Regions from separate parts of the Mus musculus genome. Here regions 2, 3, 4, 5, 6 and 7 are each reported to be linked to region 1. Evidence: microRNA targets listed by miRTarBase, many of them from high-throughput screens and not tested one by one. Region 1 holds a microRNA gene; each other region holds the end of a gene's coding sequence.
Evidence for each region. The annotated mature microRNA mmu-miR-3097-3p reads CUCAGACCUUUCUACCUGUCAG and lies in region 1 at 1,229-1,250, shown strand. An mRNA with a match to its seed (bases 2 to 7 or 8) in the 3' UTR can be bound and repressed. Matches are read on the target gene's strand: a 7mer-m8 pairs with bases 2 to 8, a 7mer-A1 pairs with bases 2 to 7 and ends in A, and an 8mer does both.

Region 1 (4,066 bases):
CATAATCCCCCTGCCTTATCCTTCTGAGTACTAGGATTACAGTTGTATGACATCATCCTAGCTGGAGCTTCTTCAAAATTCTTGGAAATGCATGCTGACAAATACAGCTCTTAAGGATCCAGAAGTAGGGATGGAGCTGTGAAAGAGTGATTACGAGCAGCACGTGATAATAGTGTCAGTGATATGATGTCATATTTTATATGCTAACCAGAGACTAAAAATATATTTCTTTAAAAAAAAAAAAAAAGATGACCAGCCCTTGAGAAAAGAGCTGTGAGGCAGATGGCCCGCCCACTCACGTGTGCTGCGCAGCCCCTATGCCTGCTTTCAAGGCCCCTGCGAGGCTCCTTTCCTGCCATGGTGTAGACAAAGAGGGCCGGGGATATGGGGCTCAGCTTCATAGAGGGGTTGTGGAGTGACAACTGCTCTCCTTCCTGTGTTCCCTCAGGATTTTCTACGTAAGGAATTCAGTGAAGAGAACATTTTATTCTGGCAGGCCTGTGAGTGCTTCAGTCATGTTCCTGCACATGACAAAAAAGAGGTAAACTGCTCTTCAGAGCAGGGGCTGTGTGAGGACCGAGGTTACATCAAGGGTTGCTTGAGCAGTCGATGAGGGATGCTTCTTACTGACTTTAAAGAACGGTGACATTTCTGCTTCAGCATAAAAACTTAAGTGTGTGACATTTAATTCTGCCTAAACATAGTCTGCATAAATGCCTCGCCACAGAGCCTGGCAGTGGTGGCACTTGACGTTGGGTTGGGTAAGAAGGAACAGTGTTTGAAGAGACTTGGAGAAGCACTCTGGCAAACTGCAGCCTCTACCTGTGGCTTAACAGCACCTGTCTAGCTGCCCCAGGACTGCCCAGGCCATGTCCTGTGGCCTTTCCCCCAAAGTAACAGCTGTCCTCACAGAGTGGCCTCATGCCTGTGTCTTGTGCTCTGAGCATTGTGCACTTTTGCCCTCCCCTGTCGTGCACACTTTGCTGGCAGATCCTCCTCTGAGGCCCTTACAAAGCAGCCATTTAGAAATTTGCAGCCATTTAGAAATTTGTAGAGGAGCCGATTCAGGAGTTTCCTCCTGGCTCTTTCTTTTATATTTACTTTCATAAGCCAGACTATAGACAGGGCCTGTGACTCAGCTCTCCAGCCCCGAAGCAGAGTCAGCCTTAGGAATGTTTGAGTGACACAGGTGGGAAGTGTGTGTCCAGTGGGTGTGTCTACAGATCTGCTCAGACCTTTCTACCTGTCAGCTCTCTTACAGGGCCCGGGAGATTTTCAGTAAATTCCTGTGCAGCAAAGCCACCACTCCTGTCAACATTGACAGCCAGGCCCAGCTGGCAGATGACATTCTCAATGCACCCCACCCTGACATGTTCAAGGAACAACAGCTCCAGGTGACTTTGCAGACAGTCTTCCATGGGGCTTCCAGCCAAGGCTTGGGGGTGCAGAGTCACTCAGAGTAGCACGTGCCCTTCTGGGAAGGGGGCTGCTGGTCATGTGGGCATGGTGACAAGCCCATCTGACCACTGGGCTCCAGTCTCAAAAGGATTCAGTAGATCTGAGGAACAATAAAGCCTTTGCCACAGATAGCCCCATGTACCCACTGTCAACCGAAGTAAGGGACAATATTACTTTTCAAAAGTCTATGGGGCTGGTGAGACTGCTCAGCAGATAAAGGCTCTTGCCGCCAAACCTGACAACCTGAGTTTGATCATTGGGACCCACATAGTGAAAGGAGAGAATCAACTTCTATAAGTTGTACTCTTTAGACACGGACCATGGTGGGTGTACAACACACACACACACACTCTCTCTCTCTCTCTCTCTCTCTCACTAAATAAGTAAATGAATAAATAAGTATAAAAAAATTGTATGCACATTGGACACACTTGACCTACAGAACATGACAGCTACAGCGTGGCCACAACAGCACATTATGGAAGGTCAGTGGTCTTTGATGATTGCAGGGCTGACTCTGAGCAAGTTCGGTGTCACTTCCAGCATTTGAGAGCGGATGATAACTGCATTATCCCAGCCCAGAGAAAGCTTTCTATGAGCACACGTCGCTGCCACACTAGTGTACATCCAGAATGCTGTGGACCTGTCTGTATACTTACATGTTTACGTGCTTAGTAGCAGTAGCAGCAATTGTCATTTGAGACAGGATCTCACTGTGTAATTTCACCACCATTGACATGAAGCTCACATACTCGTGCCTCAGCCTCTGCCGGATCACAGGATGCACATGGAACCCTGTTTACATGTTTGTGTCTTAATTCTGGAAGAGCATGTGATCTGACCCGTCCAGAACACACTTCCCAGCCCTGCCAGCTGCTGTGCCGCTAGGTTGCAGGAATTAGCTTAAAACAGAGCAGAGCTTCCCCAGGCCTCACTTACCCTTGAGACAACTGCCTTCCAAGTTCCTAGGAAGTGAAGGCCTGCTAAGGGTGCAGCCACAGTCTTGAGTCTGCCTGCCCTTCTGGCTGTGCCTATGCCTATGACTCTGCTCTTACTAAGAGTGACAAAGGAGAGGCTGTTGACAGGGATCAGAAGGGTCCCTGGAGAGTTAATTAACATCTGAGTGCCCTGGGGCCCAAGGGAGGGTTGGCAGGAATGACACCCTTCCAAAATGTCACTCATTCATGGGTACAGACCTCCTATACCGCCTAGGACCTAAGGAGTTACCGTTCTTTCTGTGACTATACTGCATGGCATCTGCTCCACAGATTTTCAACCTGATGAAGTTTGATAGCTACACTCGCTTTCTGAAATCCCAGCTGTACCAAGAATGCGTCCTGGCAGAGGTGGAGGGACGTACCCTCCCGGACTCTCAGCAGGTCCCCAGCAGCCCAGCTTCCAAGCACAGCATCAGCTCTGACCACTCCAATGTGTCCACACCAAAAAAGGTGCTGGGCTAGCCCTTGTGGGGGTGAGAGTAAGGCTGTAACCACACATCCTGTCACCAGCAGAAGGTGGGGCCTGTAGGACACAGATACTCCTGAACCCTTTCCTGATCCCCTAACCCCTGGCTACCTCGGTGGTGAAAGAGAGGACTGTGCCCTTGACCCACTGAAGATTCTACCTGATTCCTCAGAATCCTTACTCATAGAGCTCTGTGTTGAGCCCCTTTAGTGTCTTAACTGATGTTTCTATTTGGTGACAGTTAAGTGGAAAATCAAAATCAGGACGATCCCTGAATGAAGATGTTGGGGAGGAGGATAGTGAGAAAAAACGCAGAGGGGCCTTTTTCTCTTGGTCAAGGAGCAGGAGCACGGGGCGGTCCCAGAAGAAGAAGGACCATGGTGACCATGCCCATGGTATGTGAATGCAGACCATGCTGTTGTGGGCGGGAGCTGGACTGCTGTGGTAACGTGAGAGGCCATGGTGGGCAGGCAGAGATACAGCGGAGTTATCTGGAGGGATGAAGAAATGTCACAGATCCTGGGAATCCAGCAGAGTTGGGGATGAGCCAGCCTAGGAAGCAGGCCTGCTCCAGAACCTTCTGGAAACTCCTTGATGCAGCGTGTCTGGCTGACTGGGCTCCTTTTCTTCTTGCTATGAAAGTTGCAGGTGCTTCAGTAGGAAACTTGGAAAACAGAATCAAGCAAAGAGAAACAAACACAAATGTGCTGTCCCCGTAGCCAGGCACAGCTTCTTGCCTGTGCCAATGCATGTGCGTCAGCCATTGTGTTGGTGGATGGGGACTTGGAGATGGGGTGTGCGTCCCATGGAGGCCTCCCATACCTGGCAGACTTGCAGTCATCTGGAGAGGGCTGCAGCAGAGCTCAGATACTCTGTCTGCCTGGTACAGGGTCTACAGATGCCCGAGAAGGTACTTGTTCAGAGTAGGTCACTGGATCCAGGAGCCTGAGTGTCAGACTTGGGGTAAAACAGTGTTTAGGCCCTTACATCGTATGTAGGCTGGCCTAGATCATGGTTAGAACAATTAATGACTTGGACTATTGGCTATGAATGGGATTTGTGAGGAAGAAGATGGAAAATGGGTTACTAGTAAAATGAGTAGCCAGCTGGTCACAGGGACAGGCTTCTTCAGACCCAAAATAGC
Region 2 (4,066 bases), not on the chromosome of region 1:
TTTTAATACTCATCCCCAAGAAAAACAATGGTGTGGACTGCTATCCGGGACTAAGCAGGATACTCTGGGGCACCTGAGACAAGGGTCCTTCCCTTCACCACCTCAGTTTCCTGCTTGTGGATGGACTGGACGGGAGGTCTGGTAGGACGCCCTCAGCTGGCTCCCCGGAAGCAGGTATGCGAGGACTGACTGGTGAAACCCTAAGGTAGGCCTCTTTCCTTAAATTCAATTTGAGTTTTGGGGCTGAGGTCTTTAGGGCCGCCACGGGGATGGAGGAGCACTAAGTGCCGGCCCCTGGCTGGAAATGGCCAACCTTATCCCTGATCTTGGGCCTTGGTAAGTCAGACAGGTTGGCTGAATTCCAACACTCCAGAGGCAGAGGCAGAGGCTGGCAGATGTCTGAGTTCAAGGCCAGTCTCTTCTACAAAGTGAGTTCCAGGGCAGCCAGGGCTACACAGAGAAACCCTGTGGTGTGGTGTGGGTTAAATCATTATTTTTGTGTGTGTGAGCATGTGTCACAAAACATGTGTGGAGCTAGAGAATCCACCCATGTGTGTCCCAAGGACAGAACTCTGGTCTTTGGGAATGGTGACTGGTATCCTGACATACTGAGCCATCTTGCTGACCCTAAGATTTATTATTGCTGTTGTTGTTGTATTTATTATTAATTTTGAGCAAGCCTCATTATGTAGCCTTTGCTGGACTGAAACTACTACTTAGCCGGAGCTGGCTTGCCTCCAGTGCACAGAGATCCACCTGCTTCTGTCTCCAGAGCGCTGATATTAAGGAGTGTGCTACAATGTCGCTAAGATTTATTTTTACGTATATGTGTTAGTGTATGCAGTGAGTGTTGGGGTGCCTTTGGAAGCTTGAAGAGTGTCCTGTCCCCTGAGCTGGGGTTCCAGGCTGTTGTTAGCTGCCATGTTAGCTTGTGCCAGAGGAGCTGGGAAGTTCAGTCCTATGGAGGTGAGTGTTCAGTAAGTGTTCTGGGCCAAACTTACCTTCTCAGCGCTCAATTCTAAGTCCTAAACACAACTAGTCATACGATCAGCTTCTCCCTCCTTCTGGGTCCCCCAGCCCCATTCCACAGCATCTGAGAACCAAGAATTGTGGACACACTCACTGACAGCCCTTTCTTATTTAACGTTCACAATCCTGTGCTCAGTGGTCTTCCTCTTTTTTTAGGGGCCGGGGGGCTCGAGACAGGGTTTCTCTGTACAGCCCTGGCTGTCCTGGAACTCACTCTGTAGTCCAGGCTGGCCTCGAACTCAGAAATCCGCCTGTCTCTGCCTCCTGGGTGCTGGGAATAAAGGCGTGCGCCACCACGCTCGGCCCAGTGGTCTTCTTAAACTCGCAGTGTCATCCTGCCAGTTCATTTTGCCCTCCCACCCCCTTGCCCTGAGAGCTCCTGGACAGACAGCTGACATCCTCTTTAATTCGGGACTTTTACCTCTCTTCCACTTCTAACCCAGGGCTTATCACAGAAAAAATTAAAAAATAAATGAAAAATAAATAAAGCACCCAATTAGTGCCAAGTGAATCGCTTGAATGTCCACCAAGTTGGGGGACACGGGAGAAATTAGAGGGGAATCTGGAGATGCTTTCTTTGCCAGCCCCCTACCCCTTTATTATCTCGGATCCCATCTTCTCCAGCAGCAGGCACCAAGGCGAGGGGAGGTACTCTTTCTTGCTCAGGCACCCAGACCTCTCCCTTAGCCACTCCTTTTGGGCCCACTCTTTTCATTGCCCTTTTAAGAAAGAGGAAATTCTTTTCATAAACAAGCGCCCCACTCTGAGCGGCCAGTCCACAGCCTTCCCAGCTGGGTTCCGGGTAATAGGAGCTGCTTTCAGACAGAGAACCTCCCCCAGGCTCTACCCTGGGAAAAGGCTCCCCGGTCACCCCTTCCCCCGTGCGGCTCTGGGCTGTTCTAGGCTACAGTGCAAGGAACCGGAGGAGTCAGGAGGAGGGACTTAGGGGAGCCTAGAAACTGCCTAGGGAGCGTCTGCAATGTGCTAGGTCTACACAGGGCGAAGGGTTCCGGGACGCTGACTGCGGAGGAGGGGGTTCCCCGCCCACACCGCTACTCCCTACCCGGGCGCGGAGGTGGCTTCTGCGGCCCTGGGAGAAAGCACCCTCCTCTCACCTGTGTCCCGCTTGCCCTTGAAGGAGGACAGGGCCTAGGCCGGAGTGTGGGCGCCCGGGAGAGTCCCTGCCCCTAGGGGGAGCTGAGAGTGAAGTACAGGGAACCCTAATAGCGCAGCGTGGGAGTCAGGTCAGCCCAGTTCCCTGGGGAGATGGCAAATGAATTGGGCCTTGAGGCACAGACTTTTGGGTTCTTTATGGTCTGGCTCCTGACAGAGAAGGAGCACTTTCTAGGTTTTACTCTCTGGAAAATAGGTTTCCGTACAGTCATTTGGAGGGTTCGGGTTTTGGCGTTTAGATTTTCTAGCGCTTTGGAACAGAGGGGAGCTACCCTTTGGTTCATCGGACGATTTCTATTTTTTTAAGTTTCTTCCAGTCCGACTCTTCCTCCCCCCAAGTTTGTCAGGTCCTCCTCCTCCTCCTCCTCCTCCTCCTCCTCCTCCTCCTCGTCCTCCTCGTCCTCGTCCTCCTCCTCCTCCTCCTCCTCCTCCACTTTCCTTCCTTCTTTTTACTTCCTTCTTGAGACAGGCTCTCAGGTAGCCCAGGTTGGACTCGAACTCAGTTTATTTTATTATTGATTGATTAACTGGGTTTTTTAGAGACAGGGTTTCTCTGTGTAGCCCTGGCTGTTCTGGAACTCACTTTGTAGACCAGGCTGGCCTTGAACTCAGAAATCCACCTGCCTCTGCCTCCCAAGTGCTGGGATTAAAGGCGTGCACCATCACTGCCCAGCTTGGACTCACTTTTTAGGAGGATAACCTAGAACTCTTTAAGATTTTTTTTTTAAGATTTATTTATTTTATATATGTGAGGACACTGTTGTTGTCTTCAGACACACCAGAAGAGGGATCCCATTATGGATGGTTGTGAGCCACCATGTGGTTGCTGGGAATTGAACTCAGGACCTCTGGAAGAGCAGTCCGGTGCTCTTAACAGCTGAGCCGTCTCTCCAGAGACCCGACCTAGAACTCTTTAGGACTCCTCCCTTCATCTTCCACGAGCTGGAGTGAGACAATGGAGTTGTGGCAGTTCTGTTTGAGGTGTTCTGGGAACTGGAGTCACCTTCAGTTGAAAGCCACCACGTTGATGCTGGGAATTGAATCCCCATCTTCTGAAAGGGTGGTGGCTAGTGTTCTTCACACCTGAGCCATCTCTCGCCCCAGGCACTGTGTTTTTTAAGTCTCTTAGGTTGTGGTGATAAGAATGGTGTCATTATTCCGAGGTAAAGCACTTGTCCAAACTGGAAACCGGTAATCCAGAAAGCCAGTAGGGGACCTCCAATTGCTCTGCTGTGTCTGCCCTGTTGCCTCTTTGCTTGCTGGATGCCGCGGTCACCCGGAACCCTGCACGCCTCCCTGCTCCTCGTTAGGGAGCCCATATAAGAAGTGCTTGTGGGAGCTGTGGGTCAGGAAGGTGGCTCCGTGGGCGATGCAACAGGTCCAGGCCTGGGGAAGGACCATGAGTTGAGGAGAGGCCAGAGCGCCTCAGAAGCCCCCTGTGTCTCCCTCTCCTGCCCTCCCTGCCCCGTGGCTGACCCCAGTACCAGATAAGCAGTCAGGCCCAAGTAACCTATTGCGAACAGAGCCACAAGGCCAAAGTAGGCAGGGTGCGGGAGGCTGGGCAGGTAGCTGATCACAAAGTACAGGTTGATGGCGCAGACTAGCGCCATGATGCACGAAGTGATGGCTTTGCTCATCCTGGGGGAAAAATGGATGCTCAGGGCTGGCTGAAAACAGCCGGGCCTCCTGGATGGTCTCCCCACCTCAGGACACCCCTATCCTCAGGACTGCCTGAATGCTCTAGAGCAGATAGACCCAGTTAGCCACTTGGAGGCACTTCAGGCTCCATCACTGACTTGGCAAGGGGTGTGGTGAGGTTAAGCCCGGGGTTCTAGAAACTGCCCCACCAAACCCTGGTTCCCAT
Region 3 (4,066 bases), not on the chromosome of region 1:
TGAGTTCAAGGCCAGCCTGGTCTACAAAGTGAGTTCCAGGACAGCCAGGGCTACACAGAGAAACCCTGTCTCCAAATAAATAAATAAATAAATAAATAAATAAATAAATAATAGAATTTACTATTATATGGAATAGTTGTGATACATTCAGAGTTTGGAGAACTAAAATAACTAGGAGTGTTAACAATGCTCTGTGGTCCATTTGTGTCATTATGGTCTGTCTGTAAACCTCTATTGTCTTTGAAGATGCCAATGTTCGGCGGTACCTCCAGTTGACGCAGTCAGAACTCAGCAGCTACCATAGGAAGGAGAAACAGCTGTACCTGGGCATGTTTGGTTAATGAAGAAAAGAGACATTTCTCAACTTGAACTCAAGTGGACAAGCAAAGGCCCATTGGGGAATCTGAGCCTCACTCAGCAAAAGGAGTTCACCCTTTACCTCTGACCCAGGTGGATTTCCATTTTGTTTCCTGTTCTGCACAAGTTCTTTGCTCCTTAGACCATCTGCATCGTTTATTGTCTGTCCCCTAGTGTATTTGTATGGCTTACAATCTGAGAACATTCATCGACTGTGGGTGGAATCAACTGTATTTGTGGCATAGATTTAATGGGGTGTTATTAAATGTTCTCAGACACAGAGGAGAGGGCCGGTGAAGGGTGAGAGAGTAAGGACAGGCAAACAGGAATCTTCTGTAGTATCTTCAGATGCTTTTGTTTTGCTTAGTGGGATTTTTTTTTCTTTTAATTATAAATTGAGCCCAAGTATATTTACATTAAAGATTTGAAATTAGCTGGGTGTGGTGGCGCACACGTTTAGTCCCAGCACTTGGGGGAGTCAGGCAGATTTCTGAGTTTGAGGCTAGTCTGGTCTACAGAGTGAGTTCCAGGACAGCCAGGGCTACACAGAGAAACCCTGTCTGGAAAAACCAAAAACAAACAAACAAAAAAAGATTTGAAATTAATCATTTTAGGGCTAAGGCTGTAGCTCAGTGGTAGAGTGCTCGCCTAGCACGAATAAGGCCCTGGGTTTAATTCCCCAGTGCTACAAAACCAACCAACGAAATAACAAGAAATGAATCAAACTGTTATTTAAATTAATTTCTTATACTCCTTTAATATTTCAGAGACATTCAGATTATTTTCCTCCATAAAAGTATCTTCTTTCTAGGCAGACTTGGTGGTAGATGCCTGCAATCCCAGCACTTTGGAGTCTAAACCATGACAATCACAAATTCAAGGTCAGTCAGATCTTGTCTCAGAATTAAAGGGCTGGAGATAACAGCTCTGTGGGAAAACCCTGGGTTTAATTCCCCTTTCTGGTTTTTGGTTTGCTTTGTTCCCTCCTGGTAATTTCTAGTCCTTGCTATTGCTTGCACTCAGATCACTGACAAAGTACAACTTATTTGTCATTAATTTAGTCTTTTTTTAAAACTTCTGGAGTGAATGCCTGGGATACATGAAACCCTGTTTTTACCTTCTCTCTGACCTTGTGCCAAGAAGGAACCCAAGTGCTGGTGCACTTTCTCTGGGTGTGTGTGTATGTATGGTGTGGGAGCTTAAACCCACCTTGCACATGCGAGGCAAGCACCCTGTCATCAAGCTACACAGCTAGTCCCACAGAATTTGGTTTGTATTTCAAAAAGTTTCTCTGCGTAGCTTTGGCTGTCCAAGTCTGAATATTTCATAGATACATTCTAAAGTGTTCACTTTTCTGAAAGGCATTACTTTTGTCTTCTTGAAAGTGTACCGTAGGGGCTGGAGAGATGGCTCAGCGGTTAAGAGCACTGACTGCTCTTCCAAAAGTCCTGAGTTCAAATGCAGCGACCACTTGGTGGCTCACAACCATCCCTAATGAGATCTGACTCCCTCTTCTGGAGTGTCTGAAGACAGCAACAGTGTACTTACATATAATAAACCTTAAAAAAAAGTGTACCCTAATAAATCATGACAGAACCTGTTTCCTCTTCAGCTGTCACTCTGTCTTGTAGGTGCTCAGGACCTTACAGAGGAAAGAAAGTACAAGGAAAGATGTTTATTGTTTAGTGTGTTGGAAGCACCTGATAGAATCCTGAAGAAGCTGTGTCACTCATGGGTGCAAACCTAGGGTTGTCTTGCCTTGCCTTGCCTCGGTGGCATTCAGCTACTGGTGGCTGGTCTGTCATTCTGTTTACCCTGGATCCTCTTTATGTCATGGCTGACAATTAGTAGCTAAGACCATGTAGTAGGCCTCCACCTTTATAAGCAGAGATAATAAGCATGTGTCGCTAGCCATTATATAATCAAAAACCAAATATGTTTCTTGGGGTGGGACCAACTAGCTTATTAATAATACCTAAAACTCTCCTAATACTCTGTGCTTCTATGTTCCTCCCCATAATTTAAATAATATATCCAACAAGATAAAAAGCTTTTCTACCAAACCTAAAAAAATACAAGGACAGAACTAAGTAGAATATTTTATCTTGCAGACTTCTTAAACTGCTAAAGTTAGCATATGTCTGTGATTTCAGCACTCAAGAGTGCTGAGGCAGAAGGATTACTATAAGGCCAGTCTGGCTATATACTGAATTCCAGACTAGCCAGACTTACCTAACAAAATCATGTCTTAAAAACTCAGATGGATAAAATCCCTATACTGGTTTGGCAAAATTTTGTCATAGTGAGTCCTGTCACATTAAGTTAGAACCCCTTTTTTTTTTTTAAGTTTCTACTCAGTAATTTTCCAGTATAAATCTCACCACTACCCCTCAATTATAAATATCCACTTGTCTAATTGGAGTCAATTAGGTCCAATCTCTGTGTCCCGCTGTAAAATCTAGTTGCTATAGTTCCTATGCCATGACTGCCCCTGAATGGTCCATTTCCTATGCTTTTAAAAATAATTAAAATCATTGTCATCTTGCATGTTTCACTTCTTCAGAGCTGGTTTTGCTTCCTGGCTGTTGTGTAAAAATTTGATGTTAAAGGAAGCTGTCTATTACATCAATGAGGAAAAATAAAACTGATATTCACAAATGCATCTTAGAAATTTATTTCACTGATAATTTCTCAGCCTTCCTAGCAGTGTCAGACTTATTCTGTAGCTCAGCGCCCAACAGACTCAGTAAGTCACAGAAAAATAAAACCAAGCCTGACCTAGGGCTTGAAGAGGTCTGATGAGCCCACATTGTGAATCAGCCTCAGAGGATCCCTAAATATAAGTTCAGTAGTCTGTGGAGGGGACAGGCTCCAGCTTTACCAGGCTTTAAGCATTTCCAACAAGATTTGAAGGTTCTAAGTGAAGAGGTAGTCTTTGTGGTGCATGTGAAAGGACACACATGAGGGCATTTTGAGACCCACTCCGTCATAGTTTGGCCTCAAGTTCTATTTACATATTACCTGTGTTAGTGCTTAGGCCATGTGAGAGTTGTTACGTGTTAGCTTTGCAGTAGAGCACTTGCCTAGCACTGCCCAAAAATTACTTGTAAGATATTTTCAGTTTTTAATGTTCCTGTAGCCTTGCCTGCACTGGATCTCATGGCAGTCCTCCTGTGTTGGCCCCCTAGGTGCTAGGATTATAAGCATGAGCCAGCATACCAGCTATCTTTTTTTATGTACATTAGTGTTTTGTCTGCTTGTATGTCAGTATGTGATGGTGTCAGATCTTGGAGTTAATTGTAAGCTGCCACATGGGTGCTGGGAATAGAAAATGGGTCCTATGGAAGAGCAGTCAGTGCTTTTATCTGCTGAGCCATCTCTCCAGCCCCATTAGCTGTCTTCACACACTGGTTCTTCCTAAGTTGCCCAGGCTAGCCCCATCTATTTGAGCTCAAATGAATCTTCTGCCTGAACCCGCCAAGTAACTAAAACTACTGGCAAGTTCCACTCACCTGCCTTTAAAACTGAAGGTGTATTTACTTATTCGTGGATTCTTTTTCTTTCTCCTCTGTGCTAGGGCTTTACAGATGTTAGGCAGGTACTTTCCCACTAAATTATACTCTGACTTTTCAGTTAAGTGTTGGCCAAAGGCCTGACTAGCCCAGTAGTGCCTATTACTCAGATTGTCTAGAGAAACTACATCCAAAAG
Region 4 (4,066 bases), not on the chromosome of region 1:
CATGACCTAAGAGTGATATGTAAATAGGATCAAGGTCTTCACGCTATATTAGCATCTGGAATGGCCCCTCTAGGCCCATGTACTGTCTTCTGTGATGTTAGTAGAGGTGTAGAGCCTTTAAGGTGGAGGGACCTAGGTGAGAGGTTTTCATATCACTGGGGGCGGGAGAGGGGCTTGACTAGGTAGGCGTGGGGCTGCATCTCTTCTCTTTCTAATCCCCCAGATCTGAGGGGAATCGTTTGCTCTATGATACATTTCCACCGCGGTGTGCTATACCATCCAGGCCTAAAAATCCGTGTCCCCACCCATCCACCCTCTGCTCTCTGTGAGCTGCTCATCTCTGGTATTTGCTGTGCTAATGGAAACACACTGTTCTCTCCCCCAGCCCCCAGCATGGGGAAACAGAAAGGATTAACTAGGTAACTGTGTAGGGCTTACTAAGACAACCACTGCCCAGGCTGGGCATGAGCCACGGGCCTGGTCACCTGTTGCCTTCCTTCTTAGTTTACATAGTTCTAACTAAAAGCAGACACAAAAAGGCCAGTCATTCTTTTACAAAATATTCAGCTATCCTTTTGCATATCATTTTATTCTACCAATGAGCAGAAGTTCTGAAGACCGGAGGTACACTTGAAATATGTGGGTTGGTAAATTCAAAACTCGGTGGCAGAGTAAGTGATTAGCTTGTGGGTTCAGTCCCCAAGATATAGAAATAGTTAAGTGATTCGGAACCCCCCCCCATTGAATTACTTAATCGTCTTCATTTCTAAAAGCATGGTAGCACATATTTTAGAATGTCTTACCAATATTTCAGAAACTTAAAACTAAGAATTATACTTTGTCAATTTGCAGTCAAAATACCGATGACCATAAAAAAAGAAAAGAAAAAAAATGACTATTAACATGTCTGAGTGCCTGTCTTGGATGGAGGGGCAGTTAAGAGAGAAGCATTTGTGACACAGAAGGGAACAGTGACTTTAGTTGAGAACTCTAGAAGCTTTCTAAAGGTATCAAGATCTTAGTAAATAAGGTCGGGAGGAGGGCTGACGAGTCTTCATCAGCCTGAGGATGAAATTGTAGATGGAAATAATAGATGGAGAAAATTCGAAGTGCTTCCTAAAAACAGAAAGCATTAATTCCTGACAGAGTTGTTCTAAATATCTGTACTGATTAGCACCAACATTTTGTATTCTTAGTGCTTTTTAAGCCCAGGTCCTCATGCACCTGTCTCCTGCTCCACCAGGCGGCGCGCTGGTCCTCCGGATGCGGTTGGCCAGATCGGCCTGGAGTTTGAGGTCCCGTCATTCTCTGTATAAACAAGTTACGTTCAAGTGTTTAGGATATAAATTACGACCATGCCGGCTGCCTTGGAAGGAATGTAAACACAGCACTGTGGTCGGAGCAAACTCTGCGACTGACTTCATAATTTATAGCAGGCCCCCCTGAGTAACTCAGAATAAAAGACAAAAAGGATGGGGGGGTGTAGAAAAAAACTATGTAAATGCAAATATGATAATGCAGAAACAAAAGTGTTTAATTCCGTAGTTAAAAAAATACAGAAGAGAGCCTAAGGGCTAGGAATATAGCTAAGAGTTTTGAAACTAGATGTTTTATTCAGGAGAACACCTCAGAATCAAGATTCCTTGAGATAGGGGGGAAAATATCCTCTCCAGAGTTAACAGTAAGTGCCTGGTGGTGGATTGGAAGGGAAGAGAGTTTAACAAAAAACAAAAAACAAAAATCCATCCCTGAGCAGAGACAAAAATTACTGCAACATGATTAAAAGTGACTATTGCTCTGCCCCCAGCACATGGGTGTTCTGAGTGGGAAATAAATCTGCCGCCTGGTTGGACTATTTTCCCATTTCAATCCCATGTCCTACAAGTTCTGTGGGTAGCATTCAGGGTTAGAAAACCTGGCAAGAAGTTGTGCAATCCCATGGGAGGTGTGTGTGTGTGTGTGTGTGTGTGTGTGTGTGTGTGTGTGTTGGGGGCAATTTAAATCCCCTTTGATCTGACCATCACCCAAAGCAGCCTGCAGCCTAGATGGGATGTGGAGGCTCTGGGAGGTGGTTCTTTACTCTGCCCTAGCATCTGGTACTGGTGGGAGAGAGGAAGGAGCAAAAGGGCAGAGCTCTTGGGCACAGGAAAGGAAACAAAGAGGGCGCAGAACTTAAGCTTCCTCAGATCAAACCCCTTGGCTTTCCATATCTTGCCTGCTTTTGTTGTTTTTATTTATTTATTTTTATTTCTTTGGTGTTTTGTTTTTTAAGTTCCTTTCACCTTCTGGTTTTTGTTTGGCTAGAAAAAGTGAGAGTGAACTAGAGAAAGAAATTTAAAAAAAAGTGCCCTCTCTACTGAGAAGACCCACCATCAGGACTGGACTGGCTCATTCAAAACAGAGACCTCACATCACGTCAGTTATACAACCTGGGGGTGGGCAGCCTAGAGCTGCAACTGTCACCGTGGGGTGTGGCCACAACAGGGTGCCTGCAGAGGAAAGGGTCCCTAGAACAACTACTTGTTATACACATTTTATTGAAAAAAAAAAAACCTTACATCAAAATATCTTGGCAAACTGTCAAAGTATACATAAGTGCAAATATACCCTCCTTTTACAATACAAGCGAAGTGTGAGTATACGAAGATCATAAAAATACTTTAAAAATACGGTGGTAGAAAAACAACCTTGTAAAAATGTACTGTCACAATACTGAGAGCCACTTTCTTAAACTAGACTATCGGTTCTTCATTTCTTCACAATGTTCTTTGGCACCTGTATCCGAAGAAGGGAGTGTTGGGGGACTGGGAGTGGGTGGAAGAAATGTCCTACTGAGCCAGGGAACTAGAGAAGGCTTTCTTGAAATTGTGTGCTTTTAGCACTGCAATTTTGAAAAGCACACACACACACACACACACACACACACACACACACCTCCCTTTTCAGACCCTGATTAGTGAATGCAATGGCCACCCCAGAACTGAAAAGTTTTATGTCCTCCACACAGTAACATATGTCTTACATGTAGTCACCTCCTCTGTCTGTCGCTCTTCTGGGATATTAGCTTTCGAAAGGTTTCCTCTTCCAGGGGCCGGGCAAATATCGGTGAGCAGAACTCCCTTGGGTATTTGTCTAAGTGATGGGTGTGCTACTTACTGCTATTCGCTATCCAGCGTGCACAGTGTGAGTCCGTTGCAGTTCCTGGCTGCCCCTCTCGGAGGGGAGAGGAGAAGAAGGCAGAAGAGGGAGAGCAGAGTGGCCTTCAAGGCCTCTGTCCATTCACATAACACAGGGCTTAATATCTTGGCACACGCTCTGGTGATGATGGTGATAATAAGAGCCACTAGCGGAAGGGTGGAAAGAAGAAATGCCATTGAAATTGAGGACGAAATCTTTCCTGTCGCACACTGGAGTGGAGTGGTGCTGGTAACGGGGCAGTCCGACTGAAAGAAGAAAGAAAAAAAATCTTTTCAGTGAAAGTCACCCAGCTGATGGTGGGGTGTATTAGTTCGAAATTTCCCATTAATTTGTGTTATTTTTGACTGAGGGTGTAAAGGCAGCTGGTGGCCTTAGGGTGTATGGCTATAAAACCAATAGGACGCATCTCGGAGCGCCTTGGAGACCCAAAGGCCTGCCCTGCTTTGGTTTTAAATACCCTTTCTTGAGAGGCAAGTGGGAATTCAAGAACGCCTTGAGAGGTAATCTGTTCGTGGATTCCCACATCCCTCTCTTGTGCTGGGAGACCTCTCTGCCAGGCCTGGATCCAGGCTGAGCTCGGCACACGCACGCTGACACTTTGCGCCATCGCCTCTGTTTTTGTACCTAATTTTTCTGTCTCAAGAAGTCGGGATGGGGTGGGGGTGTGCTACCCCCTTCATCCACACAGGATGACAAAGAAAATACCTTAGAGAAGAAGGGGTCTGAGAAGGGGGAGAGAAGAGGGCAGCCCCCTCCCAACCACAGGCAGCAGGCATCTTCTAGATTTCGAACCCTGGCCTTGGATAGGCCAAGAGGTGCTCTTTAGTCATGGTATCTAGCCGCACACGGAGTACCCGAGGGAACTGGT
Region 5 (4,066 bases), not on the chromosome of region 1:
AAGAAATGTCTTAAACTGTAGGGAAAAAAAAATTTCAGATTCTACTGAAGATTTCCTCTGGAGCATCTGCTCTGACCAATAGGAACCTGCAGGGCTCTGAGGCTCTGAAGAGGCTGCCATTCCCCTGAGGGCTCTGAATGGGAGGAGGCTGCAGTGTGGGCATGTTCGCTCAGTGACTTAGCAGTACTGGCTGCTGTACTGCTCATGTGCGGAGGAGTTTCAGCCGTCAGAAGTGACCGTGTCTTCTGTTTGCAGGCATCCAGCTCAGCGAGTACTTGCCAGAGGTGACGGACCTACTGCGAGCAGAGCAGCTGGGAAGCCTCAAGTCCAACTCTTACTTTGAGTTTGTTCTGAAAGCAAATTATGAGTATTATGTCCAAGGACAGATGTGACATTTGTAGAAATGGTTGTTTCTAAAATTTGTGTAAATATTTGCTTATTAAAAAAAAATATTGAGGCCAAAAAACTTAGGTCTGGATCAACCTGAAGTCTGTTTTGTCTGCAGCAACCAGGTTTTCTATGCTTTATATGGGAGCCGCGATATAAAAGGAGGGGCCCTGATGCTCTTTTTCAGCTGTAAGGTATTTCCTCCTCCTCTTCCACCTGAAGTCACCCTTGCTTCTGTGTAGCTGCCCTTCTCCAGCCTCCCTCGGTCCAAAGAGGCAGCAAAACAAAACAGGTTGCCTCGCTCCCCAACTGGTTGTCCAATACCAGCCCTGAAAAAATATAAGAATGTGTATAATAATATACATGAATTTACATGCAAGTAACGTTCTATGGGCTGAGCAAGTGTGTCTGTTTATTTGGGTCAGCAATTAAAAGATGCTACAGGTTGGAGAGCAGGGCAGCGGAAGTGAGGAAGTGTTGGAGATGGCAGGGGACGGGGAAAACAGATTGCCCTCTGCATGTGGCACTCTGGGAGTCTCTGAGAAGCTGATCTCTTGGTCGGAGGCAAAGGGAAGTGCCTGCTTAGCAAAGTGAAGATGAGATGTCACTGATTTATACTGTGGCCTAGAAACCAAAACCCTGGGTCTAACTCGGGAGGGTGGGCAGCTGGTAACTCACTGGGAATGTTCTCACTTCCTACATTGATTTAAAAATTACAAGCAAGGGGCAGGGCTGGAGAGATGGCTCAGTGGTTAAGAGCGCTGTCTACTCTTCCAGAGGACTTGAATTCAATTCCCAGCAACCACATGGTGGCTCACTACCATCTGTAATAGGTCCCAGGGCCCTCTTCTGGTGTGTCTGAAGACAGTGACAGTGTACTCACATATATAAAATAAATCTTTTTTAAAAAAAAAGTTAAAACTTAAAAGCCAAAAAAGCCATATATATATGTGTGTGTGTGTGTGTGTGTGTGTGTGTGTGTGTGTGTGTGTGTGTGTAAAATTAAAGGATTAAAAGTGTGGGCCACTGCATCCATCAATAATGGATAAGTCTTAAAGTGTTTTAGTAAGATGTTTGTGTGGCTTTCTGAGCTGTCAGTAAGTTGTCATTGCTACCAGATATGGTACTGGCATTGTCTGTGACCCCAGTATTGACTCATAAACCTAGGATGGTTTCTAGTCTCACCGTAGACGGTCCCTTCCTAAACATCGTAATGCCAAGGCTGGTCTACCCAGAGATGTTGCTCTGAGAGCTCTGGCCATGGCCTACCTGTCTGAAGAAGGGGGCTAAACCTTTATGGCAACTATCGCAGCTTCAGAATGGTTGGCATGTAAACTTACTCCAGCAGTAAAAATGAAATTAAGACTTTCAGTGTTGAATATCTTTCCCTCCTAAGTTTTAAAAACTGGTCACATAATCCATCTCTGAAGAATGAATGATTTGTTTCTAAGTCAGGTAGCTAAGACTGTCTCCTGGTACCCGGTGTACATTCTTGGGATCCTTCTCTTGTTGGCCTATCCGTTAGTTCAGCATGAACTAGTTAGGACTGTGAATGGCAGCAGCCACCCTTGTCCCTGAGGTGAGTGTGCTGTATTCTGAGGATGTGTGAGTCAGTCAGGACCTGAAAGGGCCCTGGCAACCTGTACAGAGCACAGGGGGAAAGGTTTTGTTGTTTTATTCTCTTGACTGGATGCTATGGGGAGAGCCAGAGGTCTGCAAGACAAATTCATGGTGTTTCGGGCTGTCATGGTTGGTCCCACATTCTGAGTGTTCCCAGTGTGGCCTCCCCCACCACTGCCAGTCTGTCCTCAGAATGGCATAATATTCATGTATAAAATACAATATATGTTGAAAAACAATGTGTATATATGTTGTATATATTTATCATATGTGTATGATATGTGCATATAAACTCTGGCTGGCCTCAAACTCTCAGCCCCTGTGCCTCAGCTTCCCAAGTCCTAAAACTGCAAGTGTACACACCAGCCCTGGCTAGAACAATTTTTTTAAGGCGTGTGAAGCCTGACATTGAGCTCATATCCAAAATAAACACAAGTAACTGGTGGACCTGGAAGCTGGGCTTCTGTTTTGAAATGAGCTTCAGTCGACCACCTTTTGTATTGTGTGGGCAATGGTGAGTACTTAGCACACCTTTGGACTTCTGTTCTCAGAGGAGCTCCAGTTTTCCTTCTCCTGCTGGGATGGCAGGTCCTTGCATGCATCTGCATTGCCTTAATAAAAACGAGGTTTTCTTTTTGTCTGCTTTTCACTTGTAAGAACCAGCTCCTTACGCTCGGCCGCCCAGCCCGAATTCAGTCCCCAGTGTGAGTGGAGAGGGGACCAGCTCCCTCTCCTGTCCTGTCCTGTCCTGTGACACGCGTGCCTTCCCTGTCAGGCTCTGAGGTTCCAGAACTGCTGCTGCAAGAGTTGAAAGGGTAGAGCCGACCTGTGCTGCTGCTCACTAGGGAAAGACAGACTGATGCTAATACAAGCCTAGGCTGCAACAGGACTGAGGGATTGCCGTGCTGCCTGTTAGTTGTCCTGTTTGCTTCTGGTAGATACCGCAAGGACTTACAGGATGTGAGGGGTAAAGGGGCAAAGGGGGGGGGGGGGAGATTAAGAAGAGGTGTGGGTGTGTCGCATGGTGGCGTAAGTGCCCTGCACACAAGCATTTAAGGGCCCAGCAAGAAGACAGCCGGCGAGAACCTAGCCGGGATTCCAGAGAAAAACTGTCAGGAAAGGAAAGGGTGCAGCTGAACCTAGAGTTTACCTGCCTACTCACCTGCCTGCTGCTGCGCCAGGTGTGGGGCCGCAGGTTTCCTGTAGTTCGCAAACCACTGCGTTCAAGGTCCACTTTATGCTGTCACGCAAAGCTGAGAAATCTGCATAGTGGGATAAGCAAGAGCTTTCGAGAGTCTGGGGCGGTATGTACAGCCCGGCCCGATGAGGTCCAGTCACCTGGACAATTCTCCCTACATCCATGCCCCAAATGTAAGCACCCCCAAAGCTGACCATAGTCTGCATTTGCTGCTTGCTTCTTTTTAACAGTTCCAGGTCCTGGCCCAGGGCACAGGCAAAGCCACAGAGCTGATGCCCGTTAGGCAGTGCAGCTCAGGTTTAGGAAGAGCTGTGTGGGATCCTGAAATCGCTTCATGGAGCCTCTGCTCTCAGAGGCTCTGCACCTGTCCCAGCTGCTAAGTTCCACTCCAAATGGGAACAGCTATTTTGGGAGCGCTTAAGCCATCAGAAAAGTGAATGGCTCCATGGTGGCTTGGCTCTGATGCACACCCCTCAAAGCATGTCGCCTGTTTGGTCACAGAACACTTTTCCTTTGGGCTTTCTTATCCCTCTCCCTGCCCAAATTGAGACAGGCGCCAAGAGATGACCTCTACTCACCCCCATCCCAGCTTCCATAAGTTGCTCCTTCTAGAAACCCAAAAGCAGATTCCCATCTATCAGCGGTATAAATAGAACCCACACAAGCCTGGCAGGTGGTGGCCCCAAGGTGCATGGGAAGCAGCCGGGCTGACGGGCATCATCCTCTAAATATAAAGATGAGTCTGCCTGGGAGGGGCCGCTCCTGGGCACCAGTGTAAGGTCTTAGTGCTCCTTAGAAGGTATATCTTCATCAGCACCTCTCTCTGCCTCAGCCCCCTCTAGGTCCCAACAGTTCCAGGTA
Region 6 (4,061 bases), not on the chromosome of region 1:
CTGGACTCTGTAGTCTATTGAGATCTAAGGCTGAGCTCTGAGGTCCTTATAGGGCCTGCGACTGAGCTCTGGTCTTTGAGGGGCTGGGGCTGAACTCAAAGAATCCCTAAAGGGCTAGGATTAGATTATGAAAGTTCTGGGCTTGGGGGTGGGAATCTGGGGACTTTGAAAGGCTGGGGCTGGAGTCTTCAGTGGAGTAATCACCTGGGGCTGGATACCCCTGTTCCTAAGTTTCTGAACCCCTCAATCATTGAGAAGACAGGGCCCTGGTTTGCAGAAGGGCAGGAGTTTGTTCTCACCAGCCAGGACACGAGTCAGGAGGGAGGGACTCTACCTCCTCCTTTAACCTTCCCCTCCTGCCCAGGCTCTTCTCACATCCTTACTCCAACCCGCTTCCTCGATGACCTCAAGACACTGGATCAGAAGCTGGAGGGTGTGGCCCTGCCCTGACACAGCCCCTTGCCTCTGCCCTCTCCTATTCCAGAGAAATAAACGCTTCCCTTCTGTCTTCCCACCAGGGCTCACCTCATTTTCTTCCCAGAGGGAGCTGTATTGAGCCAGACCTCCCCCTGCGTTTTCACTGTCCTGCCCGAACCTTTCCCCGGCCCCCAGAAGCATCTGTAGCTTTCATTAACGCTGAGAACCTGGGCTGTAGGGTCAGTATTGGCTTGAAGTTTAGGAGGCACTGGCTCTCTTGCTGGGTCCTCCATCCAAACCCAGGCCTGATTTTGGCAGAGGAGATAGAGAGGTGCAGATTAGGGGTTGCCAGGGCTGCAACCCCACTGTCACTAGAGTTCTTTAGGCTGTAAGGTTAGAAATATAGGAAAAATTTTAACCTTTATCTTTATTTTGTGTGTTACACTTGTATGTATGTTTATGCATCATAAGTATCAGTGCCTGTAGAGGTCAGAATAGGGTGTGGGATCCCCTGGAACCAGAGTTATAAATGGTTGTGTGAAGCCATGAAGGTTCTTGAGTCTGCTGTGAGAACAGCTAGTCTCTTACCCACTGATGCATCTCCAGCACCAGAAATAGAAACGGAAATAGAGTAGACCTGAATCCTGACTCTTCCCCGGAACCTCCCAGGAGCTACTGCAAGTAGAACTTGAATCCCCAATTCCAGCAATCAGAGCTAGCATTTAAAATACAGCAAACTTGGGGCTGGTGAGATGGCTCAGCGGGTAAGAGCACTGACTGCTCTTCCAAAGGTCCTGAGTTCAAATCCCAGCAACCACATGGTGGCTCACAACCATCCGTAATGACATCTGACGTCCTCTTCTGGTGTGTCTGAAGACAGTTACAGTGTACTTACATATGATAAATAAATAAATCTTAAAAAAATAAATAAAATACAGCAAACTCTAACACCGGCTTCCTAGTAACCCCCCGCACCCAACCTTAAGATATGCCTGTAGACTCTTAATTGCAGGATTTACCAGAGTTTTTAATGGAGGTATATTTGTTCAGTAGGGTCAACTTATAAACTATTCCTAGGGCCTGGATGGCTCAGAAGTTAAGAGCGTTTCCTGCCCTTACAGGGGCCTGGAATTTGGTTCCCAACACCCAATTTGGGTGACTCAAAACTGACTGTAACTCCAGCTCCAGGGAATTCAGTGCTCTCTCCCGGCTTCAGTGCGAACCCAGATACATGTACACCTCCCCCCAACACACAGCAATAAACAAACAAACAGGTAAATAAATGAATAAAAGCACTTCACTCAGATGGCTTTACAGGAATTTATTATTCCACAGTTCTGGAAGTTTGGTCTTTGCTGGAGGTGTTGATTGGTTTGTAGATAGATACCCTTTATTCAAGAAAGGGTATCCTGTAGTTCCAGGCTGGTCTTGTTAAATAGCTGAGGGTGATTTTGAACTCCTGAGTGTTGGGGTTACAGCTGTGCAGTTGGGGTTGCCACTGTGCAGTTTCTGCAGTGCTGGGGGATGAACACAGTTCTTCATGCATGCTAGGCAGGTACTCTTCCAGCTGAACCACATCTCCACCCCTGCAGCTGGCCATTTCTCTGTGTCCTCACATGGTTGCGTTTTGCAGGTGTCCCAATTTCCTCTTCTTATGTCACCACATACTGGATGAGAGCCCACCCTGTGGCCTCATTTTTTTTTTTAAACTTAATTATCTTTAAAAAGACCTTGTTTCTAAATATATTCATCTTGAGATACAAAGGGTTAGGACAAGATCATCTAACTCTTGGGAACAGATACAATTTAGCCCATAGCATTTGAGTAACAGGAGGTATGGTTCAGTGTGTGAATAAGACAGAGAAGGGACCTTCTTTTTGGGGACACAGCCAGGCAGGTATCACAGGTAAAGAGGATTGGAAGGCATCCCAAAGTGTTTCATCTAGAGGTGGGAATAGGAGTAGAAGGGAATGGGAGGCTCAAGGCTACAAAGCCAAAACCATGGAAGGATGCTACATGGTGCCACATGGTGAGCCAGACAGTTAAGTGCTGCCCATGAACAAGAGCACCGGGATTACAGAGCTCACCCAGCAGTACTGGAAGCCCTGGCCTCTGTCTCTGACTTTAGAATGAGATTTTACAAAGGTCTGAGAACTAGGTGGGACCTGGCAAAGCTGGGTGAAGATTTTGTTACTGATGGGCAGTTGAACACTATGGAAGGATTCAGGGGTTCAGGAGCAGGGAGGCCAAGAAGCCCAGTCCAAGTGTTAGAGTGGCCTGGGCTGGAAGCCAAGCACGGTGCCCCCTGTCATTTGGGTCCTGTCTTTTGGGTCCTGCCTGGGCATGTGAGCCATGCAGAGTTGTGGACACAGCTAGGAGGATCCTTTTGATTTTGAGTTCATCAAAGCCCAGGGAATCTAAAGACATTTCTCAGAAAAGTTGAGAACATGAGGCTTGGGATTCTAATCAGATTGTCCTGAGCACCCCAACTCAAAAAGATCATGAAATTTGGAATGAATGAGTGGGAATAAGGAAATCGTCTGTCACAGCCCCCCCCCCCCCTCAATCCCAACCAGCTGTCCTGGTTTCAGTGCAGAAGGGATGGATGGTAAGTGGAGGGAGACAGAGGGTGATCTTCCTGCTCTGTAGCTCAGGCTAGCCTGGAACTCCCTACCGTTTTACCCCAGGTTCTGAAGTGCTGGAGTTGTCTGGCACGGGAGGTTATTCTAAAGTTTAAATGTAAACTCTAAGATCCCTGGCAGCAAACTGCTGTTTCTCTCTGGGATCTGTTTCCGTATTTCAGCGAGGTGAGCGCCAGGGGATGCTGCGGCCCAGATCGTAACCAGAGCTTGGGTGACCTAATTATTAGAGAAGCCTGGGAAGTGGGCTAAGGATTATTTGATGGTTCTCAGCAGAAACAAAACTGTTGCTTAAACTACTCTCATCTTTCCTTTAAAAAAAAAAAAAGTTAAAAAAATACTCATCACATTGTGTAGTCCTGGCTGGCTGGAACCATGTGGACCAGGCTAGCTAGTGCTGGGATTAAAGGTGTGGCCCACCCATCCCGACCGAATCTGATGATACCGACATGAAGGATGAGTCTGTCTTGGGGTTACTACCGCTGTGATGGAATATGACCAAATGCAGTTTGGAGAGGAAAGGGCTTATTTCACTCAGTTCCATATAAGAGTTCATTCATCACCCAAAACAGTGAGGGCAGGAACTCAAGCAGGACGGGAACCTGGAGGTGGAAGCTGGTGAGGCCACAGAGGGCGCTGCTTACTGTGCTTGCTCAACCTGATTTCTTCTAGAAGGCAGTGCCACTCCCTCAAGGGTGGCACCGCCCACAATGGGCAGGGCCTTCCCAGGCTTGCCTACAGCCTAATAGAGGCATTTTCTCAGTTGAGCCTCCTTTTTCTGATGACTCTAGCTTGTCTCAAGCAGACATAAAACTAGCCGGCACAGTGTCTATACTACCAAACACAAATGTTGATTGTGCAAGCATTTATTGCTCTCTGTGGCTACTGTCATCAGCTGAGATCTTGGCAAACCTCCCACATTACAAAGAATCTTTAAGACCCTCTTTATAAGAATAAAATGTCCATCCTTGCTTTCTGTGTTATGTAGGTATACCATTCAGGGAG
Region 7 (4,056 bases), not on the chromosome of region 1:
GGACCTAGCCTTCTCCCCGGGGTTAGCCATTTCCCAAGATGTTGTAAGGAGGTCACATGTATAGAGTCTGGCAGCTTTGCAGGAAGCTAAGATCCAAATGAAACTCAGCAGCCCCTCCTTTCCCAGCCAGACTGAAGGAAAGCATAGCCCCCTACCCCAATCTTTGTTTGGTGAGCAACCTACAATGATGTCTCACCTGCCACATCCAGATCCACTTTGAAGTGAGCGCTGTGGGTGTGTACCGTGCCCAGCGTGTGCGCCCCAACTCGGTTCCCAAACTTCTCACCAGCACCGAAGAAGAAAGCTGAGCTGATATAGCCTGTGGCGTGGAATTTGACTTCTATGGCCCCATTGGGGTGGAAGACCATGTCCCATATGTAGTCGTAATTGAGCAAGGTAGACACGGATCTGACCACAAGCACCGTCCCCACAACACCCCCAAAATAATGGGAGTAGAAATCTGAGTGGTGCCGCCGGAGTGGGAGGCCCTGGTTCTGTTCAAACACACAAAATGCATCACGTAGTGTCTTGGGGGCCTGAGATTCCAGAAGGAAGTGCCAGTCCACATAGGTGGCGAGGTAAGGACAGTCTACCCCTCGGATCAGGGGGGTAGAGTATTTGCCAATGCCAAAGCTACCGTCCACGTAGCAGGTCGACATTGATGCTGGGGAATTTCCACCGTAGAGGGCTATGGCCTCCTGGACACTGATTTCATAGGCCACCCTCTCCCCTTGAAAGCGGATATCAAAGATCCTTGGGCCACTGAAAGCTCCAAGGCCAAAAGAAAAAGCCCACAAGGAAGAAGACACTTGGCTCCCCTGGACACTGAACCGGGGTCCCTGGGGATGGAACTGCAGAGGGGGAGCTGGGCCCGGTGGCACTGAGGACTTTAGAGACCAGGACCCACCTGTACCATTGTTTGGGACCAATACCACATTCACCAGGCCAGCCTCAAACTGGTCCTCCAGCTGAGTGAGACTCTCATAGTAACGGCCTTGATAGAATACCTTCTGGATGGTCCACAGGGCAGGATCCAGGGCCTTATGATCTATCAGAAGCTCCAAGCCAATGGGGTGAGGGTAAAACCCAGCCCCTGAGAGATTGTAATACAAGCCAAACCAGGTGGCCCGGTCCCCTGATTGCAAACCACGGGGGGCTGTAGTCATTGTTAGCAGGTTCTGTCCCTGGTGTTTGTAGAAGCAACAGTGATGGAGGAGTCCAGAAGCTTGGGGCAGCTCTCTGTGGAAGATCATCTCCTCGATATCCTGATACTCTCTGTCCAACACAGGACGCCGGTAATAGGGCAGGGGGCCGCCGTGGCGCTCCACAGTCACATCCCGCATGTAGGAGGGGTGAGGCAGGGGCCCCACCACCAGCTCACTCACGTTGGGCTTGGGTTGTCCACCAAAGAAGATGATGGCCAATGCCTCTCTCACAGGTGGGGGCCCCCCTCTGTCCAAGTGGGCCAGGGCTGCAGCCTTGGCAGGCAGCTGCAACTCTACTGAGAAGACACAGTTGTCCGAGGGTCGAGCCTGGGCTGCATCCACCAGCCCTGGCCCCAGGTGCTTGGTCAGGAAGCTCATCACAGCTGTCAGCTCCTCTGGGCTCAGGTCTGCAAACGGCTGGCTCTGGCTAGGGTGTGTCCGGGGCTGGACACTAGGAAGAACAGAGGGGCAATGAAGAGGTTGGCTCAGTCCACCCCCATCTCCGCTCCTGCCAGCTAGCAAGACACAAACCAAAGCAAAGATGGTGATGACAGCCAGAGCCAGGAGCACTAGGGTGGTCTTCTGGGTCATTGCTTCTTGATGGACAGGCTTCTACCAGAAATGGACTCCTTTTGGCTGGGGTCTCCCAGGCGCTAGGCAATAGCAGAGCTTCTTTGTAGTCTGCTTTTGCCAGGGTGGGAAGGAGCAGGGAAGCCGGAGCTAGGGTTGGGAGGCGGGTCTGAGCTGGCTGCAGTGATATCCACAGACCTTACATGGCTTTGTCCTCCAGTTTCCAAATCAGAGTGCTCTCTGGGTCAGGGTTGGGATTGGGGGAGAGCTGGGGTTGGGGGAAGGGGGAGGGATCTCGTCTGTGTATGGAAATCCACTGCCAAAAAGTAGCCGGGTCTGCCCCACAGACTAACTTCTCCCCCAACTCCCACCTTATGAAGGCCGGGTGTTTCCTTTACATTCAGTGTGAAGTATTGTCCTGCCAAGGAAACCCCCACTTCCAGCCTCTTTTCAAAGAAAGATTCCTTGGCCAGGTCTACCTACCCTCCCAGCCCCGCCTTGTGGCTCTTACTGTTACTAATTTCCTTGGCCAGAGTCCTTGATATTCTCCTGGGATAAAGTTCTACATACTTTAAAAAGCCAAGCAGAATAAACTCGAATAAAAATTTGGCAGACCGTCTTGTACATAACCACGTAACTCCTTTTAGATACACACACGTAAGAAGCCTGATTTGATGTTGTGAACACCAGTGAGTTTTGAAGTGATAGAACTTGTGGCGTTTGAGTATTCCAAAACATTTTTTATAAATTATCATTTCAATGGCAGAAGCCAGGGGTAGTAGTGTATATCTTTAATCCCAGTAGTCTGGAGGCAGAGGTAGGCAGATCTCTGTGAGTTAAAGCCAGCCTTGAACTCATAGCAAGTTCCAGGACAGCCAGGGCCACACAGAAAGACCCTGTCTCAAATAGAAACAGATACAAAAGACAGGCAGGAAGCAAGAATTAGCCCACAGGGATACCCAGGTCTTTAGTGCAGAAAGGCTGCTAAGGAACAGAGGATGGGAACCTGGGGGCGGGGGGTGGGGGGGTGGGGGTGGGGTAAAAATACAGGAACAGAGCCAGATGGTGGTGGCACACACCTTTAATCTCAGCACTTGGGAGGCAGAGGCAGGCGGATTTCTGAGTTTGAGGCCAGCCTGGTCTACAAAGTGAGTTCCAGGACAGCCAGGGCTATACAGAGAGACCCTGTCTTGAAAAACAAAAACAAAAAGACAAAAAACAAAATTCAGGAACAGAACAGAGGAGTGTGTACATTCCATTCTTTTTTTAAAATTTTTTAAAAGATTTATTTTATGTATATGGGTACACTGTCTCTGTCTTCAGACACACCAGAAGAGAGCATCAGATCCCATTACAGATGGTTGTGAGCCACCATGTGGTTGCAGGGAATTGAACTCAGGACCTCTGGAAGAACAGTCAAGTGCTCTTAATCGCTGAGCCATTTCTCCACTCCACATTCCATCCCTCCTACCCTGGGGCCTCACCATAGCCTCAGGCCTATAAGCCTTCATAGGAAAAGGAGGGTAAGTTGGGGACACAGTCTGCCAGCTGTTGGGTGCAGGCCACAGGGTTGATGCTGCAGAGCCCGGCATCCTGGTCCCTCTCAAAGTACACGCTGCCAGGGGAGAAGATAGAGGGATCTTCATTGAAGAAATTGTAGGGTCGGAGCAAGAAGCCCACTCTGTTTCCCACAGTCACTGTGTTGGGGATGTCCTCAGCATGGGGGATGTGCAGGAAACTGGCTGTCACCCAAGCCACCAGATCCTGTAGGAGAAGAGAAGAATGGGAGGCTAAGAATCACCTCTTAGCTGCCATTTCCCAGCCTCCAGCCTCAGCCTGGCTTCTGCATCTGCCAGCCACATTCCTACACCGAATATCTAATAACCTGGGCAGGGTGCCACTGCTGTGACTAATTTCTGCCTAGTAGGGATAACCTGTATTGGACAGAGGCCGGACAGCCAAGACATCAGGAAGAGATGGCTTTCCCCATTATCTCTAAACCCACCAACCTCCCCTAAGAGGGTTTCATTGTTGATGAAGTCAGCAAAAACCGTAGCTGGGCTCCGCATGTCGTTCTGGTAATAGATGCTGCTGCTGTGAGGCTCTGCCTCCTTCCTCTGGGTCACCACAAGCTGGTACCTGGCCAGGAATTGTAGAAAGGCAGTGTTGGGGGAAAAAAAACCAAAGCGCTTTACAAGCCTAGAATCCCTTGGATCAGATTGATACCATTTCCCATCCAGTTATCCTTTTGAATTGGAAGGCAGGTCCAGGATGTGTGAGT

Region 2: miRTarBase lists Slc11a1 as a target of mmu-miR-3097-3p. Seed matches in the 3' UTR shown: 7mer-A1 at 2,971-2,977.
Region 3: the mRNA of Ttc9c is a reported target of mmu-miR-3097-3p. Seed matches in the 3' UTR shown: 7mer-A1 at 1,671-1,677 and 7mer-A1 at 1,879-1,885.
Region 4: miRTarBase lists Foxf2 as a target of mmu-miR-3097-3p. Seed matches in the 3' UTR shown: 8mer at 2,942-2,949.
Region 5: the mRNA of Nup133 is a reported target of mmu-miR-3097-3p. Seed matches in the 3' UTR shown: 7mer-A1 at 1,244-1,250 and 7mer-A1 at 1,659-1,665.
Region 6: the mRNA of Stxbp2 is a reported target of mmu-miR-3097-3p. Seed matches in the 3' UTR shown: 7mer-A1 at 1,286-1,292.
Region 7: the mRNA of Aoc2 is a reported target of mmu-miR-3097-3p. Seed matches in the 3' UTR shown: 7mer-A1 at 3,094-3,100.

Annotation. Positions count from the first base shown.
Region 1 is chr5:35,019,866-35,023,931 of GRCm38, forward strand. Mir3097 (microRNA 3097) reads left to right here and starts at 1,184; the gene lies at 1,184-1,250. It overlaps Rgs12 (regulator of G-protein signaling 12), which reads left to right. Exons shown (of 17, transcript NM_173402.2): 6 at 449-541; 7 at 1,251-1,394; 8 at 2,727-2,906; 9 at 3,164-3,317.
Region 2 is chr1:74,384,915-74,388,980 of GRCm38, reverse strand. Slc11a1 (solute carrier family 11 (proton-coupled divalent metal ion transporters), member 1) reads right to left here. Exons shown (of 15, transcript NM_013612.2): 14 at 3,687-3,840; 15 at 2,930-3,588. The coding sequence ends at 3,475. Among named protein-coding and RNA genes, the nearest start is that of Ctdsp1, 4.7 kb to the left of the region's middle.
Region 3 is chr19:8,808,019-8,812,084 of GRCm38, reverse strand. Ttc9c (tetratricopeptide repeat domain 9C) reads left to right here. Exons shown (of 4, transcript NM_027412.3): 4 at 247-3,010. The coding sequence ends at 341. Among named protein-coding and RNA genes, the nearest start is that of Zbtb3, 7.5 kb to the right of the region's middle.
Region 4 is chr13:31,629,859-31,633,924 of GRCm38, reverse strand. Foxf2 (forkhead box F2) reads right to left here. Exons shown (of 2, transcript NM_010225.2): 2 at 2,519-3,443. The coding sequence ends at 3,280. Among named protein-coding and RNA genes, the nearest start is that of Foxf2, 6.1 kb to the right of the region's middle.
Region 5 is chr8:123,895,700-123,899,765 of GRCm38, reverse strand. It overlaps Nup133 (nucleoporin 133), which reads left to right. Exons shown (of 26, transcript NM_172288.2): 26 at 256-2,643. The coding sequence ends at 392. Gm29773 (a long non-coding RNA gene) reads right to left here. Exons shown (of 3, transcript XR_879336.3): 1 at 3,400-4,066; 2 at 3,170-3,269; 3 at 630-716. Among named protein-coding and RNA genes, the nearest start is that of Gm29773, 3.0 kb to the right of the region's middle.
Region 6 is chr8:3,642,282-3,646,342 of GRCm38, forward strand. It overlaps Stxbp2 (syntaxin binding protein 2), which reads left to right. Exons shown (of 19, transcript NM_011503.5): 19 at 365-1,717. The coding sequence ends at 450. Among named protein-coding and RNA genes, the nearest start is that of Retn, 11 kb to the right of the region's middle.
Region 7 is chr11:101,328,680-101,332,735 of GRCm38, reverse strand. Aoc2 (amine oxidase, copper containing 2 (retina-specific)) reads right to left here. Exons shown (of 4, transcript NM_178932.1): 3 at 3,785-3,914; 4 at 3,037-3,539. The coding sequence ends at 3,273. Aoc3 (amine oxidase, copper containing 3) reads right to left here and starts at 2,130. Exons shown (of 4, transcript NM_009675.2): 1 at 197-2,130. The coding sequence starts at 1,796.